4 linked regions of the Caenorhabditis elegans genome follow. The protein of the gene in region 4 interacts with the protein of the main gene of each other region in a pairwise test. Each region holds a gene or a part of one and is shown on either strand. Other genes may lie near its edges. The genes, in order: popl-4, D2023.4, swt-3 and osm-3.

Region 1 (4,323 bases), on a different chromosome or scaffold from region 4:
AACACCGAATTGCCATGTGTCGATTTACGTGGCTCTCGTGTACTCCTCGAGGAGAAGATTTCGCAAATTTTGGCTTTTTCAATACAAAAATTAGATTTTTCTATTGATTTTCTATTAAAAACCAACACGAAGATTTTTCGAACATTTTTCTCGGCAAAAATTGAAAATTTGAAGAAAAATTGCAGAAATTCATTGGAAAATTTCCCAAAAAAATTCCAAAAAATCAAAAAAAAAATCGCATAAATATATCAGAAAAATTAGAACATTTAATTTTTTCCAAAAAAAATTTTTTTTCGAAAAAACGTCAAAAAATATAAAAAAAAAACGAAAAAATAGTGATTTTCTTTGAAAAAATCAGAAAAAATCGCCAAAATTATTCAAAAATTAATTTTTTTCCAGATTCCTCCAGCTCCAAACTTCCATCTCGCTACCGCCAAAAACTTCCAACGGAGCAAGAGAAAATCAGCTCCGATGAGGATGAGCCAGCGGAGCCAATTGCTCAAAAAGCTGCAGCTCCAGTGAGCCCAAATCCAGCTTCATCGCGCTCCGCATCACCGGAGCCAGCTCAGCAAGTCGATGAGCTTCTGGAATCCGAAGAAGCTGCTCCACCACCACCACCTCCACCGCCACCAGAAAATGAGCCGGAGGAATTTCCACCACCACCACCGTCGATTTCGATTCGGGAAACGAAGAAACAGTTGAAAATGCGGCTGAAATCAATCAATAAAATGCTGGAAATTCAAAAATCCTCCCCGTTGCTCGAGGGAAATTCATCGGAGAGCTCGGCCACGGCGACTGCTCAATGAGCACTAATTTCTTGGGATTTTTAATTCAAAAAGTTGAAAAATAGTCTAAAAAGCTGAAAAAAACCGAGCAATTTCGCTGATTGGTCCAAAAGTGGGCGGAGCGAATCGCTGATTGGTCGCAGTTGAATTTTTCATTTTTTGTTTTTTTTTCAATTTTTTGAAGCAAAATCCCTAGAAATAAATTAAATTTCATATTTTATTTATTTATTCCCCATCTCCTCCCACCCACATCTAAAGTGCAATAGAGCACGCTTTCTCTCTCTCGTTTTTGCTACGGTTTTTCAATTTTTCCCTTCTTTTCTCTCTACCAAAATCGCTATAATATTTTTTTTTAATTGGGTTTTTTCAATTATTTTACCCCGAACCCCCCCTCCCCGTCGGTTTTTGTGATTGTTTAGAAATATTTTTATGTGTGGTTTAGTTTTTGAAACTTTTTCTGTTTTTTTTTTGTCTATATAAATACAATATCTGGGAATTTTTAAAGATTTTTTGTGTATTTTTTGGGTTTAGAGACGATTTAATATTCAGAAAATGACTTATTTCTTTTTAAAAACTACTATTTGAATATATGGAAGAGCTGGCCGTGTAAAACCTCTTCCACGGCCATGTGTCGATTTACAAGACTCGTGTACTCCCCGTGGAGAAGATCTTGCAGTTATTTGCTATTTTTCACTTAAACCACTAAACGAAACAAAAAATAATTTTAAAAAGTGTAAAACCACGTATTTTGAAAAAAAAGGAAAATCTTCTCCTCGGGGAGTACACGAGCTGCGTAAATCTACATTTCACCGATATTTCCCAAAAAAATTCGAAAAAAAACCATCAAAATTGATGAAATTTTTGAAATTGTTCCCAGAAATTTGAAAAAAAATACAATTTTACTAAAATATCCGTTTTTTTCCAGAATTCTATCGAAAAAAAAAATGAGCAAAGACGTACGAATTGGAGAGCCAGGAGAATCCACGTCTCGGGGAGGAGGTAATTTTCAATTTTTGAGAAAAAAATAAATTGAAATTTTGAACTAAAAATGATAATTTTCCGTAAAAAATTGGAAAAACAATCAAAAAATCGTCAAAAAATCAATAAATTTACGAAAAAATCGATAAATTTTCCGTAAAAATCAATTTTTTTGGAAAAAACCTTCGAAAAGCCAATAAACTTAAGTTCAATTGAAAAAATCTATAATAAAATAAATAAATTTCTCAATCTCTTTTTTAAAAAATCGATAATATTCCGTAAAAATCCAAATTTTAAAGAAATCTTCGAAAAATCAATGAATTCGAAAATCGATAATTTTTTTTCAAAAAAAATCGATAAAATTTCAGAATAATCAATAATGTTTAGAAATGAATGATTTTTCGCAAAAATCAAAGAAAAAATATTCGAATAATCAATAATTTTATAAAATCAATATTTAATTTTCCCAAAAAGTCGATAAATTTTCGGTGAAAATCGATAATTTTTCAAAAGTCAATAAATTTTCAAAAAAATCAATAATTCAAAAATTTCGTAAAAAATCTGAAAAATTTTGAAAAAAAATCAATCATTCAAAAAAATCGATACCTTTTCAGAAAATCCGCTACCTCACCTGATAATCGATACATTTTAGCCGATTTAAAACCGATTTAATTCCGAAAAAATCAATAATATTTTTCAAAAAATCGATTTAAATACGGACAAATCATCAAATTTTCAGAAAATCAATAATTTTCCTTTAATTCCTCGATTTTCAGGAGATCGTCTCGGAGTCTTACATCTCGAAAAAAATGTGACCAGTCACTTCAAAAGAAAATCCAAAAAAACGGAAAAAACTAATTTGACACGTGGAAGACTCACCGAAGACGACAAAAAAGCGTTCAAGTTCGTAGATTTTCGAATTTTTTCGAAAAAAATCCCTTAAAAAAATTACAGATTCGCTGATATCGTTCCAATGAACACAGATTGGCAGAAATATTTCCGCGAACGACTCGGAAATCACTTTTCAAGTACGAAAATCGAGAAAACTATTCTAAAATCAGATTATCATGGAGCTCTGCTGACAATTTGGCTTGCCGAGAATCCCACACAGGTAATTGTGTACTCCACGAGGAGTTTACGCGGGAATTTATTGATTTTTTCTTGGAAATTTGTTGATTTTCCGATAAAAAATTATCGATTATTTTGCGTTAAAAAATATCGATTTTCGCGAAAATTTATTGATTTTTCGATAAAAAAAATTATCGATTTTTTGAGTATTTACTGTTACTGTTTTTCCTAAAAATTATCAGATTTTTCCGAGAAATGTTTTTTTTCATAAAATATATATACTTTTTGAAAAAAAAAAACTTTTTTGCTGAAAAAAAAAATTATCGATTTTTTGAACTTTTCCAGATTGGAATTAGCGGAATCGTCGTTCTCGAGACACGCCACACATTTCAAATGGTCACACAAGAGGATCGATTCGTTGGTAAGTGGGTCTCGCCACGATCTTCGGGCGGGAATTCGAATTTCGCGCGGCCACACCGAAAGGCGAATCTGCGGAAACGGGATCTGCCAGCGTTTTTCTCGAAGAACAACGCTATAACGATTCCCGGCTCAACAACACGCGTAACACCGGAGCATCGTTGTAACGTATTTTTTTCGAGAAAATGCTGGCACAGACCCCATCCCCGCAGATTCCCTTTTCCGTGGGGTCTCCGCGGCCCGGCGGGAATTCAAATTCAAATTTTCAGTAATTCCAAAGAAGGGCTCCGTCTTCCGATTCATCCTTGGTGATCGTCTCTTCTCACTGTTCGGCGACGGAATGCGTACTCGACCGGCGTGGCGCGGCAAAAAGCCACGTATCAAGCGTCTGCTGCCAACTTTCATTCGAGGAACTCTTCAGACCGTACCTACCGTCTCCACGAAGGATTAATTTGAATTTCTGAGAAATTTCCCTGTTTTTTTTCCGTTTTTTGTTGTCTGTTTTTGAAAAGGAAATAATAAAAATTCTGAATTTGAAAAACTCTGTGATATTGGACAATTTTCATGAGAATTTATTGATTTTTTGAGACTAACATCAGTTTCCTCACGTGGTGTCAGTATGTCCCATGTCGGTTTGATCTACAAAAGTGCGGGAATTTTTTCCCAGAAAAAAAACAAGTGAAATTAGCTGAGATGTCTGCGTCTCAACTCCCGCTTTTTTCGAAGATCAAACCAACATGGGACATTCCGACACCACGTGTTTCTTTGGAAATTTATCGATTTTTCGAAAAATTATCGATTTTTGACATTTTTTGCAATTAAAAATTGAAAAAAGGGAAATTCAACGTGTGAACTCAATAAAATTGTAAATAAATTGTAGAGTTCAAATTAGATTTTTAAAGTTTTTTCGATCATTCCTCGTTGCAATCACGATTTTGGTGGTTTTAACTAATATTTCGGTTTATATATTCTATATTTGTAAAGGTTAGTTATTTTTTGGGTTTGGCTTCCATGGGATTCAGGCGCGGTTTGGGCGCCTTTTGAAGCGGCCGACACATTTTGAGTTCCGCACCGT
Region 2 (3,166 bases), on a different chromosome or scaffold from region 4:
CTCTGGAAGTCCACGCAATGAAGTTTTGTAGTCAATTACAATTTTCCCTACCTGAAAATTCAGATCGAAATTTTTTGTAAACAGTTTAGTTTAAACAACTTACGGTTGAAGCAGCTCTCCCAAATCTCAGCAGTCCTAATTGTCTTAAGTCTTCAACGGAATCTACCGTGTACGCTGTATAGCCTGCTCCAGCTCCAGTTCCCACAAATAAGACCTTGAAAACGTTTTTAATTAATACGATGCTTTGAAAACTTAAACAACTTACTTTTGTGAGTGGCTTAAACGCCAGTATTTTTCTAATAATCATGACACCGGGCTGAAAATAACTGAAAATGATGGAAATTCATCTCAAAAAATATCGACGCAAGTGCGCTCCATTGATTGCAGAGAGAGTATGTGTATTCTGGAGGTCAGAGACATTTTTGAAAACAGTTTTTATTTTGCAAAACAGTTTTGAAATCAAAGTTCTTGCTGTTTTCAGAATGTTCTTCTTTGCCTTTTTTTCATTTTTAAGTAATTTTTTTCTCAGTAAAAATATAAATCTCTTTAAACGGTTTATGTTCAGTGTCTTTTCGTAAAATATTTTAAAAATTATTAACAATTACAGTAATTATGAGTCTCAAAAAAATAATCGATGTAAAATCAGTTAACACTCTTCTGAAAAAAGGAATTATCAATAAAGAAGGAGTGCGGATCATTGATTGCTCATTTGCTGTGGCGCCGCGTCCAGATTGGAAAGAATTCGAACAAGAGGGTTATGGCGATTTCAAGAATCTCATGGCTGAGCCCAGCCCGTATGTTTATTCAAATTTTAATTTAAAAAAAAACAAAATTTGAAGGTCCCGGAACTTGTACCTGGCTGGACACATTCCGGAAGCTGTGCATGTGGACCTGGACATTGCCACATATCCATCTCGTTATCAAAGATTCCAACAATACCGCGCGGATCTTTTCGAAGAATATGCTCAAATGGTTGGATTGAACAATAAAGAACATTTCATCTTTTACGGAAAAGGAGCATTTGGTGGAATGCTTTTTGCTTCAAAGGTTGCTTGGATTTTCAAATCCTATGGCCATGAAAACATTTCTCTTGTCGATGGAGGATTTGATTCATGGAAAAGAAATGGATTTGAAGTATCTACAGAACTCGTAAAATTGCCTGCAGGAAACTTTAAAGCTGAAGATAATTTCAAAAAATATGTCATCACATTCCAAGAACTCGAAGCTAAAAAAGACGGCGAAGATAAACAGTTTATCGAAAAAACATCAGAAATTAACTTTCTGGACAGCAGAATTCGTGGTCAATTCGATGGAACTCAAGAGACCGGTCTTGATCCACATCTTGTAAACGGCACTAGAATCGCTGGTTTCAAAAATCTACCTAGTGCAGAGCTTCTTGTGAAAGGCGGAAATTTGAAAAGTGAAGAAGAAATCAAGTCATGTAAAAGATAATGAGTTTTCCGATAATCTCAACTTTTCTAATTTAGGGCTCACTCAAAACGGATATGTTGAAAATCAACCGACAATCACATCCTGTAATGCTGGAATTCAAGCAGCACTTTTGGCGTACGTAATCGATGCTGTGAAGCCATCACAGAATCCTCCCCGCGTATATAATGGATCCTTAAAAGAGATGGAGCTTCGAGCACCGAAGAAAATTTCGGAGGGACCACAGCATTTGCCTCATTAATGTTTAGTTTTGTAGGATTTTTCTTTTATTCAATTTTCATAGATAGATATTGTTGTTATTTTGTTTCTTACTTCATAAAATTTTGGAATAATTTTATTCATTTTTCCTTTTAAATGGTTACTTGACTACCATTCAGACTATTTAGTTGAAAAATCTCGAACATCAGAAACCACTGATATCGAAAAATGATTTTTCATCTTCATTGTGTGATAAGAATTTCAGTTCATAACTTTTGAAAATTGTTCTTCACTTTTATCGTTAAAGTATGAAAAACTTCGAAATTGTCACCGTTACCCCGGATCATGCCGAACAACTCATTTCAATGATTCATGTAGGTTTATTTCTTCTTCTTTATTTGAAAAGAAAATAAACATTTGCAGGAGCTCGCGGAGTTTGAAAAAATGAAGAGCAGCGTGGTGAATACTGCCGAGAAATTGAGAAAAGATATTGAAAACAAGGCAGTGCATGGTACGATTTTGATTTTTAATTGATCATAAATCGAAATTTAGGATTCATTGCATTTATCGGAGAGGAGCCAGCTGGAATGAACCTTTTTTACTATGCATATTCAACATGGGTTGGGCAGGTATTTATGAAACAGTACTGAAATTCAACCAAAAAATCATCATTTCAGTATCTTCACATGGAAGATCTCTACATTCGACCTCAGTTCCGACGAATGGGACTAGCAAGAACTCTGTGGAAGAAGCTGGCTGAGTTGGCTCGAGACAAAGGAATTGTTCGTCTCGAATGGGCAGTTCTCGATTGGAACAAAAATGCGATTGCTCTGTACGACACTGTTGATTATGTAAATTTGACAAAGAGCGAAGGATGGTTCACTTTTCGAATGGACGGTGCGGCGATAAATAAATTTGCTGATGAATAGATATGTTACTTTTATTGGTATAGAACTTTTGAAATGTTCTGCAATTTAAATAAAGTTATTTATTATAGATTTTTTGAATTTTTAAATTTTTATTTTTACCGGATATTCTCAACCCGTGTGAATTATTTCAACCTCCCAATATTATCGATATTATCTTCTAATTTCCCTAAAATTAAAATTGTGTGAGTCGCCCACATTTTTTGGCAATTTACAGATTGACCTTTTCTCCTTTTCTGTATGACACTTCCTATCGCGTACTAGAGATTTCTGTGCTTTTGATCTTATCGATTTTGATCGGATTACCAGTTCAAAATTGTTTTACCACACTGATTACTTCTGGTTTTTTGATCCTTCATAGCAAAGTTTCAGCACGATCTATATTTGTTTCTTCTCATTTTGACACTCAGAACTTTCTGGGTTTAATTGATAAGCGAGAGGAACAGTACCCAAATTTTAAGAAAATCTATGCCACCTATGTTAGAGTTATCTATTATAAATTTAAACAAGTTGCCATATCCAGAAAATTATCATAATATCCTTTTATGGAATCTTCTGAAAATTTAAATTATTTAATGTTCTAATAATTTAAT
Region 3 (4,115 bases), 7.0 Mb from region 4:
AAATAAATAGGTATATGATATTCGCAATTTACTTTTTGTTCATCTTGATTGAATTTGCAACTTGACGCTATTTTTCTTTACAATGAAATATTATTCTGTACCTACGAGGATCTTTTATCGGATTTAAAATTGAAGACAATCTGACATTAAAAAAGCAGGAATGCTTTACAGAGCGGAATTTAGTCTGAAACCAACATGGTTTAATTACTCTCGAAAATTAGATAGTATTAAAAATGCCATATCTTGAATTTCATTGAAGTTTTCTTTTTAAAATCGGTGTTCGTTGGAGAATCCGATTTGTATGCATTATATTTTTCATTGTATTATATTTTAAGTTGTCCCACTAAAATCTATGTAATTTTTGGATTTTCAGAACCACTAAATCTCAAATTAATTGTTGTTTAGATTAATTTTTTGGTAAACTCGTCAGATGCCAACTTTATCTCTTAAACCCCCTAATTTCAGCTGCGGAGCTGGGTTGTCCAGCTCAAATCGATTTAAAACAAAGATCAAGCTTTAAAACTTTATGAGAAATTCAAAAAAGAAGGCACCCGTCATTCGGTAAATTATGCCATTCAAAAAGTGAATGGGAGAGTCATAGAAGCAAAAAGTCAATTGCACACAATTACAGTGTCAAGTCACCTCAAGTAGAGGCGGGTCATCATGAAAAAAACATCAAAAAAATGTAATAAAAATGGGTTAAAAACATGAAAAAGAAGGGTATCTTTGCAACATGGGGGACTGAATTGAATTATTATAGAACAGTTTGTTCTAGTCTTGTTGAGATTGAGATTCGAGAAAAAAGCTCTTAGCTTGAGATGAACGTGGTGATGAAGATCAAAATATGAAAGTTACTCGGAAAGATCCGGTGAGCTGATGGTTCTTCGGAGAGCATTTTCTCGAGCATCCTGTGCTGCTCGCAATGCGTTTCTCATTTTCCTTTCTCTGTCAGCATCCTTCAATTTATCTACAGCTGTAACTGGAGCCTTCTTAGTTTCATCAACTGTTTCCACAGTCTTCTCACTGGATGAATCCTCATCTCCGATCTTATGAGTATAAGCGAATTGATCCTTTGTTGGCAATTGGTAGATGACATTTTCAAGCTCTTCAGCAACAGTGGAAACATTCATCTTGATCTTTTGGGACCATCTCTGAGCTCTGTTCATCTTCTTGTCATCCTTCTCATCACATTCTCCGAGCTCGGCAACAATTTCTGAAAGAAAAAATGATTATGTTTTCTGCTATCAATTTTTTGCTATCAGTAAGAAAAAGATGCTTCCTGGTTATAAATTGATCAAAAAACAAGATTACTTGTTTTTTTTTCTACAGACTAGGTGCTTATCAATTTCTGATAGATTTTCGGTCAATGTACCTTTGGTCTCTTCCACTCGGACTCCACGGATCCACAACCAAAGTCTGACGATTGGGGCACGTTGTCCTGGTTTTCTTGGAAGAACGATGAACAAGAGAAGTTGGATGAAAGCAAGAAGAGATCCAACTCCATTTGGGAAAATAAGGTAGAAATCGTTCTTGAGGAGACCGTACAGGAACCATTCAGTTGACACAAGGAAATTGGCAATGCACAATGGAAGTGGAAGAGTTGAAGTTGCCCAACGACGGATTACGACTCGGATTCCACCAAGAGGAGCTGCGAAATCAGCAATGTTCAGGGTGAGGCAAACGATTCCAAGTGGATGGAAGATCTTCATTCCGAAGAAGTGAACAGCGAGCACCAAACTCGTGCAGATTCCAATAACTCCGAGAACTTTCAAAGAAATGTAGAGCTTCTTCTTGGTCATGCACCAATAGAAGATGGTGTATGTTGTGTACAGAATCACTTGACATCCGGTAACCCATTTCACAGTTCCATCATTTTTTAACCATCCATAAGTCATCCAGCAGCATCCTCCAACAACTCCCATTAGGAATGGAGCTCCAGAGATTTCTTTTGTGTCTTTTCTCTTCCAGATTTGTCGACATATTGGACTGAAATACTTGGAATAAATATAAATAATTTTAACTTGAATAAAAATCCACTTACATTCCACAGAAGAAAAGACCGACTGTAGTAAAAAATGCAAGAATAGAAAGAAGATTGAGAAGGGAAAAGCCTTGAGTGAAAATCTCGAACATTATGTTCAGAGAGTCGATTGTGCTAGATGGCACTTGTAGGTTTGTGGTTATACAAAAAAATGGCAGATAGTCTGTTGATTCTGTCCTTCCCTTCAGTCACTTTTGTATCAACCGTCTTCGCCCCGCCCTCCACCAAGACCTTCGGCGGAGAAGAAGGAGGGGCTATACACACTGTTCCGGGGGGCTAAGGGAAGTGACGCCAATTTCAGTACGGACTAAGATCTCTGAGCTGTTTGTGAGGCATTAGTCATACGGATCAAATGGAGCCAATTCCAGAGAGATCATTGAGAAAAGGGCGTTGACCAGTGAAGTGTACTGGTCATTTTTAATAGTTTAATAGTTCACGAGCCGACACATATTGGACAGTTATTTTTTACAATGATTATTAATTATTTTTGATTTATTCTTTGGGATTTGTAACATATTATTAGTAAGAAAAAGATTTTCAATTATTTTTTATGTTTTTCAAAAAATCTTAAAAATCTTTCAGACCCCTAAGCCCCGATTCTTGTCAGTTTTGGAGGCCTAAAGCAAAACAAAAAAATAGGAGAGAAGCCTTTAGGAAACCTATTTAAGTCCTCAAAAACTAAAAAACTATTAGAAAACTCATTGTTGAGCTCAATTCCACATTGGTTCAAGTGTGTTATTTATTTAGAAAACAATCCCCATAGCTCAACTTTTTGGAATCTACAGTAACCTGTTAAGTCCTTTGTTTCCTAGAACCCTAGACAATTGACTCCTTCTCTCTGGCGCCACCATCTGTGTTAACTATTACAAGACTTTTTACACTTCAGACGCACATATAATCAATAGTAGTATACACACACGAAATCTGTATACACGAATCTGTTCTCATTATTTAGGAAACCATGTGAACCACTAACAAGAGAGGCAGAATGATCGGATGAATAAGAAAGCAATGAAATTGATATCACTTGTTATCAAAAACGATGGTTCGCGCTGGCGCGATCCCCATATCTTCGCCATGATTTATAACCGCCGGCACGACACGACTATGTATGCGAGTAGCAGTTACTACTTTAAAGGGGACTGACAGTTTAATTCAAACATTGCTTCATGAAATGAATTTTATTGAATTCAAAGTCTAGTTGAATTTCTTGGGTCTTGGTTTGCAATTTTTAAATATGAACAAGTTTCCAATACTTCCAGAATATATATTTCATGATGTTTCATCCAAAATTTGAAAGAACCACAATCCTCTTTTGGAGCCACTTGCATCAAATATGAAGAATACATTTTGTTCAGGTCATTTCTTGAGCTTGGAGCCTGAAACATTTGGTACATAACCCTACAAGGGCACACTATTTATTTGCCAGTGCTCGTTGCTCTTTCCTGTTCAGTGATAAGGATTACGTCAATGCGTGTGTTGTCTGCTGCCCCATAAGTACCCTAATTTACCCAACCAGCTCTGGATTGCTTCTATATTATTACAACTTGAAAAATGTGAGAAAACGATGAAATGGACGAATCCTGCGCGCGAGACGTCATCTAAAATATCTGTGTGAGAGAGACTGCACGTGTACCGGCCATGTGAAGATGAAAGTACTTATCACATGGAAATGCGGGGGAAATTGAAAGATTTATGACACTTTCCTAATAGAGAAGATATTGGATTGGTTAGAGTACGGTCTATCTAGATGGTTCATCGTGTACCGGCGGGTCAAATCTAAAACTGATCGGCCAATGAGGAACTTAACGAACTGTGGGTGTTTAATAGTTAAGGGAGAAATGGATTTCCGTCACTTACTTTAGTATTTTGATTCATAAACAAAAGTATATGTATTCCCGAAGCCTTACACGTAGGAACAAGGTGACCTACGTTTGTGGCGTGCCTACTGCCAGCTTTTCATGATTAGTATTTTTGTGTAATGACTTTCCGAACAATGAGAAATGTATAAATGTGATGATTGCAGTTTTCGCAAAAACAGAAAAAGCTTTATTCATGTTCCGTTTTTTGTGAT
Region 4 (6,402 bases):
GAAGCATAAAGTTCTAGCAGAAATTTTGTAGTTTTTTTCAGGCCAATGCTCTACAAATCCAATGATGATGCGGCAGACGTGTGCAATGTCCTGTGGAACTTGTAAGTAGTCGTTCAGGGCGTGCGCTACTATTAGAGTTTTGTTTCAGGCAGCACAGGTGTTGGAGCTCTCGGGTCCATGGGGTCCTACAACCCATTTGGAGGGTACGGAGGGATGGGATACCCCCAAGCCGGTTTGTTAGACCCCCTTGCTCAATTCATCGGGAGATCGATTTACGAAACTGGTGAGGCTTAGAGCGCACTTGCAACCTTAAAATTTTCTTCAGGGATCCTCCGACAACCAACTCCATCGAGTAGTTCCAAGAGCATTGGTATACTGACGAAAGCGAAAAGTGAGCAGTTGCCGAGCCGGTGATCAACTGGATTAGAATCTATTTATGCTACCTGTATAAAATTGATAAAGATCTCACATTCATTAATTTTATTCTCGATATCACCCGTGCAAACTATTCAGCAAATTTCTAAACATCACAATGTACACACGAATTATTTGGGATTCAGAGAGGCTAGTCGAGGTGGTCGTTTTGCAGATTGAGCCCGCTCGTAGAGAGCATCAGTGTAGACGACTCCGTTGACAAGACCATCGAATGTTGGGGTCTTGGATGGAAATAGCGATTTGGAAGTTGATACTGAAACTTTTTGACTTTTTGCAAGGTCTAAGGGGTCTAACTCACATTTTTGATCACTCTTGTACTTGTTGATCACATTGATCTGCTTCACTGGCTTGAAGTAGCTGTTTGCCAGGTTTTCCGAGTCACTTTTCGCTAGCCGCTCGCGTAGTTTGTCGTCAAAGTTAGACCGTAATAAGGTGTTCTCTTGCCGAGCAGGTTCTTGCATATAACCTGAAAGATGGAAGAATAAAGCAATCCCAAATTGCTAGAATAATCGGCCGCTTTTTGGCAATCCCGCCTTACATGTTTCTTGGAAAAGCTCAGGCTTAGCAGTGAGGCCTGCAATCTAATCAAATCCAGACCTACCATTATTAGCCAACGGCAGAATAGTCCGACTCATCGACATTTCCGGCAAAATCCATCGACTCTCGTCTTCATTCCACACCGCCTCCTTCTTTATCCGATCCACGTTACTATAATTCGTATCTTTCTTGATGATCGGCTGGATTTTGTCCATAATCTGCATAAGGAGCTTCAACTGCTGGTCCTGCTTCCGAATTGTGTCTAGATAATCGAGACGATCCAGTTCGAATTCGCCGTGGAGATCCTCGATTTCTCGCTCGTAACCTTTGGACTGAAACATTCCACTATTCACTTTGTAAAACTGGAGGGACTTACTTTCTTGACTTCCTTCTCCAGTTGAGAAGTAACTGCGTCAAGTTTTTCTTGAGTAGTACTGTAGACTTGAAGCAGAGGATCATCCTTATGAACGTTTAACGCGGCTGAAACTTACTGCGTGCAAGACTTGCTGAAGTTCTAGAAGTTCTTACCTGCCAACTTCTGCGTTTTAGTCTCTGCCTCCTTCAGCTGCTTCATCCGTTTTTGCTTCAGCTGAGTATTGCCTGCTTCTTCTCCTCCAATAAACTGATCTTGGAGCTGTTGGATCTTCTTCGCCGCTTCTTCCGGATTCAAGTTGTCTAAATTCGCATTAGCCCTTTCATAGTCTGCTCTCAAGGACTCCAGGTCCTTCTGTAGCTCCGCTTTACTCGTCTGCTCCCGCTCATACTCGCCACGCAAGTCGTTCATCGCCTCCTCGAATTCTTCCCGTAGCTTCTTCCTCTCCTCTTCTATCGAGAAAGCGTCCTGCGCAGGAGCGCCAACTCCAACGGCCCCCGGTTGAACCATAGACTTGAGCCGAGCGATTTCCTCCTGGTACTCTCGAAGAAGAGCATCCTTTGGATCCTCGTTGATCGTCGGCTTGTTCTTGATGTTCTTGGCACGGTTGGCATATCGAAGTGTGGAGAGAGTCTCGTCGTAGTTGTCACTGGATGGGGACACGCAGGCGATCATAATGGTCTTTGTGTTACCACCAAGAGAATCCTGGAAAATTTGAGTTGGATAAGCGTCCTAGGTCGCAGGATCGACAGTGGCTTGGATCGTTGGGTTCTAGCTTAGGCCTTCTCCCTACGTCACCTACAGCCTAGGCTAGCACTTCCATTAATTGTGGTCCACAAATACCTTATGACTATGGTCTGGATCCCTACCGTCACTTATCATATTAGCATACATTTCCTACCGCGCTAGACTTCAGGACCTAGGCTCAAATGGCCCGGCCCAACAACCACCTCATCATCTCAAAAATGAATCGTCCTTACCTGTAACAACCTAGTCAGCTTACTGTCCCTGTAGGGTATATGCTTCGACTTTCCGTCCACCAACGCCGATATCACATTACCCAACGCCGACAGCGATAGGTTAATCTTCGTGGCCTCCTTCAAACGGTCACCGGTGGCTCCTGTCTTGCTCTGCCGCTCACTTCCAGCCAAATCGACCAGATTCAACTTTCCCATCCTGATCGATCCGGTTTCTGTCATGCCTTCCACGTATACCGTGAAGATTGAGTGACTTCGGGAAGAGTCCTGAACATAGAAATTGAGGTCAGGTCAAAGAGTCAGGTCAAGGGCCACCTTGTTCATCAACGTGGCGCCGACGTGCCGATTGTTGAAGCCCCGAGTCATCAGCTCCTTGCAAGCCGGGACATCATGACAAACATGCATGGAGAGGCCCGCCACATAGACACCCCGATCCGGTTGCTCTTTGATCTCCAGTTTTTGTTTATTGTCGGCGCCCAGCAAGTCTCTAACCTCTTCGTTGTAAATCTAAAGCAAAATTTAAGGGAAGGGATCAAAAATCTGAAACCTCTAAATAGCTGCAGTGCACCAGGAATTTCACATTTTCCGTCGTAGCCGTGGCGGTGAATATGTGATCAAAAGCCCGTGGAATCACACCCCGTTGAGCTGGAATTGTTTCGATGCCCTGCATGGAGAAAGTCTTGCCCGATCCAGTTTGGCCATAGGCAAACACAGTGCCATTGTAGCCTTCTATCACGTTCTGTACGGTTTTTAGAAGCTTTGGTAGGAGAAATCTTCAAATTTTCTCACCTCAACTAGCGGAAAGACAATATCATTGTAAATCTGCTCGCCGGTCGAATCCATAAAGTAGGCTCCATCGAACGTGAAGTCCTTGGCCGCCCCGTCCGGCGCGTTCAGGTTGACCTGTCCAACGTTCGGAGTCATTCCGACGCATAGCTGGAAATTTTGAAACATTTTAGGGTTCCTAGAAGAAAATTGTCAATTTCTAGCGCTTTTCAGTCTCTAGTGCCCTAGAAGAAGACCCCTAGTCCCCCAGAAAACTTTGTAGAGTTTCCTACAATTCCCACGGTTTCGCACCAGAGTTCTCACGCCTACGAAGTGAATATTTGCCTATTTTCGTAATAAAAATAAACGGATATTACCTAAGCATGTATCGGATATTATAGTCTAGAGGGAAACAGTAACCCAAAAACATTAAAACATGTTTTCCCGGAAATTACGGGGGTAAATCGTATAGTAGACAATAATAAGGAAGTAAACGGAACTACGTGACATCTTTTTTCATGGCCGAAAAATAGGAAAACTCGGCCACCATGTTTAAACCAAAAATAAATATTCAAGTTTTATTACGTTTTTTCATTCACATGTGTCCAGTGAAGCAGGTGATGTGGGGAGGGGGAAACATGCGCTTTTTCACAAGTTTTCCGAATACCTTTTTACTTTTTAGTCAGCAATTATGTACGGCTTCTTCAAAGAAAACATTGTTTATGACGTTCAAATTTATTAAAGATATCATTCGAACTTTTCCTAGCTCCAGCTAACTCTTTTAAAACAGCAGGAAAAAAGCCTCAAAACTACAATAACTAGCTCTCAATCGCTGTGAGACCCTCGGCCTGTAAAATTTAAATTCTGACATCGAAAGGTTATTATCAATTTTTTCTAGATTTTAGGTTAATTTTGCCGACAAAGTACACAATTTCTATTAAAAATCAGGAAAATCGAACAAAAAAATGATCGAAAAATACAGAAAATTGAGCAAAAATTCATTTTTTTTGTAAACTGTGCGCCTTTAAAGAGTAGTGTAATTTTTATCGACTTTGTGAATTTTTATCGAATTTGTGAAATTTATGTAGCAGTTTTTCAATAAATAAATGTATTTTTTTGAAAATTCCAAAAAAAAACGAGAGTTCAAAATTACAGTATTCTTTAAAGGCGCACGCCCGTTTGTATTTTACAAAAAATGTCGTTTCAAGACCTGGCACTGTAATAGGAAAACACTGAAAAGTAATAATATACTCAAAATTTAGAATTTTCCCAATTTCGAATGATTTTGGCTAATTAAAAAGAAGAACTTCGCCGAAAATTCCACATTTTCTCAATTTTTTCGGGTTTTTCTGGGAAATTTTAATTTTTTTGCGCTTTAAATATTCGATTTAGGCCTAAATTGTTTGATTTTCAGCTGGTTTTTCTGAAAATCCAATCAAAAAACCAACCGTCGTATTCAGGTCCTTTTCTCTCTGATTGAACGGACGACATCTTACGGCGACCCGGACGCTCTCTGCCATACAGTTGGTGGGAGCTTAAATATTGAAAAATGTTCCGAAAAAAAATTCCGAAAAAAATTTTTTTTTTCACATAAATCGACGTAATAAAACATGTGAAGAGCTCAAAGGTTGAAAATTTTCGGAAAAAAAAATTTCAAAAAAAAAACGACGTAGTAAAAAATAAAACGAAAAGAGTTTGGTGTCGCGCGGAGCAACGAGCATATACACCACTGCTGCTCCGAGAGCAAAGGAATGAGTGGAGGGAGGTGGCGCCTAGCAACCAGATATTGTTATGCTTCTTCTTTTTCTTTCGAGCCACGCTGCCGCTAGGGTTGAGGGAATTGAATTATATACGATTGTTTCAATAAAAGCTGCCGTCGATTTTGATATTTCCGCATTGCTGATTGGTTTTTGGCTGAAAAATGACTGGAATTTGAAAGTCATATAAATTCAAACGGAAATTAGTTTTGGAAATATTGAAATGGCGGGAATGTACAAGAAATGGGCGTATAAAGCACAATAGAGACAAGTAAAGCTAGAAAATACATACAAGAATCGGTTAAAGTTTTGGTTAAAAATATCGGGAAAATCGAAGTTTTTGGGTTTTTTTGTGTAGAAAAAATTGACCAGAAATTTCGGATTTTCAGGCAAATTTAATTTTTTACAAAAAATTTTTAAGAAAATTGAATTTTAGCCGGATTTTAAGCTTTTTTCGTGAAAATTTCAAAAAATCTAGATTTTCAGCCAAAATTAACGAATTTTCCGATTTAGAAAAATCCAAATTTTTAATGACATTTTTATTACTTCTTTTTCGAAAAAAAAGTACCGTATATTCTCTATTAGTGCGGCACCCCACCACTCAACTTTGACAGCTCATATCTCGGTCACCTTTGATTTTGGTAAAAAGTCTTTAACTACGGAAATGTTTGTTAAAACTCCTTCTATGCTTAATGTTTTAAAAGGTCTTAATATCTTCAAAATCAATCAAGACATATGACGTCAAAGGTGAGCGATGGGGGTGCCGCACTAATAGAGAATATACGGTAGTTTTACGAATTTTTTTGAAAAATTCAAATTTCTTGAAATTTTTTCAGATTTTCCACTAAAAAATCATTTTCAGATTTTTTAAAAAACATTTTCGATTTTTTACCGAATTTTGAAGCAAACCTCGATTTTCAATGATTTTTTAGAGGAAATCCGTAAAAAAACGTGAATTTTTGGAAAAAAATCTGAAAAAAAATCGATAAAAAATTGTAAAATTTAATCTGCAAAAAAATTAATTAAAAAAAAATCTAACTTTTGCTGAATTTTTAAAAAGGTGAAATTCATTTTGTTTTGAAAAAAAAACGAATTTTCCAAAATTTGCAAAAATCACAAAAATCATTTTTTCCAAATTTCCATCTTTCTGTGTTTTTTTAATTAAAAGGTTTTTTCTCTAGAAAATTGAAAAGTTTTCTTCAAAACACTAAAAATTTTGGAAAATATAGTTTTTTTTTCAAAATTTCAAAATTTTTCCGACATTTAAAAACAAAATCCCCCCTAAAATTGACACATAAATTAATATTTTTATTGAGATTTTTTCTCCGAGCCATCCAACGTGAATTTGTGCTCCAAATCCTGAATATACGTGGCTCTTGGATACGATTTCTTGAGCCCCGGCCAATGCACAATCAGGCAGTCGACCATTCCGAGATAATACAAAATTGCACCGGATAAGGAGAGCTTTTTCACTCGGCAAATCGATTCTTCGTAGATAATAACTGTATCGATTAGGCGAATTATGTCGAAGAAGGCGGCCGCCAAGGCGACTGGGATA

The links.
Region 1: the proteins of osm-3 (region 4) and popl-4 interact in a two-hybrid assay, tested with the Caenorhabditis elegans proteins (one large-scale study listed by BioGRID).
Region 2: the proteins of osm-3 (region 4) and D2023.4 interact in a two-hybrid assay, tested with the Caenorhabditis elegans proteins (one large-scale study listed by BioGRID).
Region 3: the proteins of osm-3 (region 4) and swt-3 interact in a two-hybrid assay, tested with the Caenorhabditis elegans proteins (one large-scale study listed by BioGRID).

What each region holds. Positions count from the first base shown.
Region 1 is NC_003279.8:12,211,401-12,215,723, forward strand, and holds popl-4 (Ribonuclease P protein subunit p29), read left to right. Parts: upstream 1-1,705; 5' UTR 1,706-1,729; coding exon 1,730-1,784; intron 1,785-2,539; coding exon 2,540-2,666; intron 2,667-2,717; coding exon 2,718-2,874; intron 2,875-3,176; coding exon 3,177-3,252; intron 3,253-3,517; coding exon 3,518-3,699; 3' UTR 3,700-3,798; downstream 3,799-4,323. Other genes in the region: C15C6.3 (YTH domain-containing protein), read left to right, coding at 400-806.
Region 2 is NC_003283.11:11,824,509-11,827,674, reverse strand, and holds D2023.4 (Thialysine N-epsilon-acetyltransferase), read left to right. Parts: upstream 1-1,912; 5' UTR 1,913-1,955; coding exon 1,956-2,021; intron 2,022-2,070; coding exon 2,071-2,158; intron 2,159-2,199; coding exon 2,200-2,276; intron 2,277-2,324; coding exon 2,325-2,576; 3' UTR 2,577-2,642; downstream 2,643-3,166. Other genes in the region: D2023.6 (ABC1 atypical kinase-like domain-containing protein), read right to left, coding at 1-51, 104-214, 266-307; Putative thiosulfate sulfurtransferase mpst-1, read left to right, coding at 613-794, 840-1,441, 1,488-1,690. UniProt on the Caenorhabditis elegans protein: Catalyzes the N-acetylation of the amino acid thialysine (S-(2-aminoethyl)-L-cysteine), a L-lysine analog with the 4-methylene group substituted with a sulfur. Substrate specificity: thialysine > O-(2-aminoethyl)-L-serine > S-(2-aminoethyl)-D,L-homocysteine.
Region 3 is NC_003282.8:10,778,475-10,782,589, forward strand, and holds swt-3 (Sugar transporter SWEET1), read right to left. Parts: upstream 2,210-4,115; 5' UTR 2,134-2,209; coding exon 2,042-2,133; intron 1,987-2,041; coding exon 1,373-1,986; intron 1,214-1,372; coding exon 852-1,213; 3' UTR 511-851; downstream 1-510.
Region 4 is NC_003282.8:3,795,841-3,802,242, forward strand, and holds osm-3 (Osmotic avoidance abnormal protein 3), read right to left. Parts: upstream 4,608-6,402; coding exon 4,536-4,607; intron 3,259-4,535; coding exon 3,112-3,258; intron 3,062-3,111; coding exon 2,870-3,061; intron 2,830-2,869; coding exon 2,638-2,829; intron 2,590-2,637; coding exon 2,326-2,589; intron 2,051-2,325; coding exon 1,501-2,050; intron 1,453-1,500; coding exon 1,349-1,452; intron 1,305-1,348; coding exon 1,037-1,304; intron 902-1,036; coding exon 734-901; intron 689-733; coding exon 546-688; downstream 1-545. Other genes in the region: K09B3.1 (ShKT domain-containing protein), read left to right, coding at 42-101, 149-283, 326-414; algn-14 (UDP-N-acetylglucosamine transferase subunit ALG14), read right to left, coding at 6,153-6,402. UniProt on the Caenorhabditis elegans protein: Kinesin motor protein which is required for the anterograde intraflagellar transport (IFT) along the middle segment of the sensory neuron cilia together with the kinesin II motor complex (composed of klp-11, klp-20 and kap-1) and on its own, is required for IFT along the distal segment.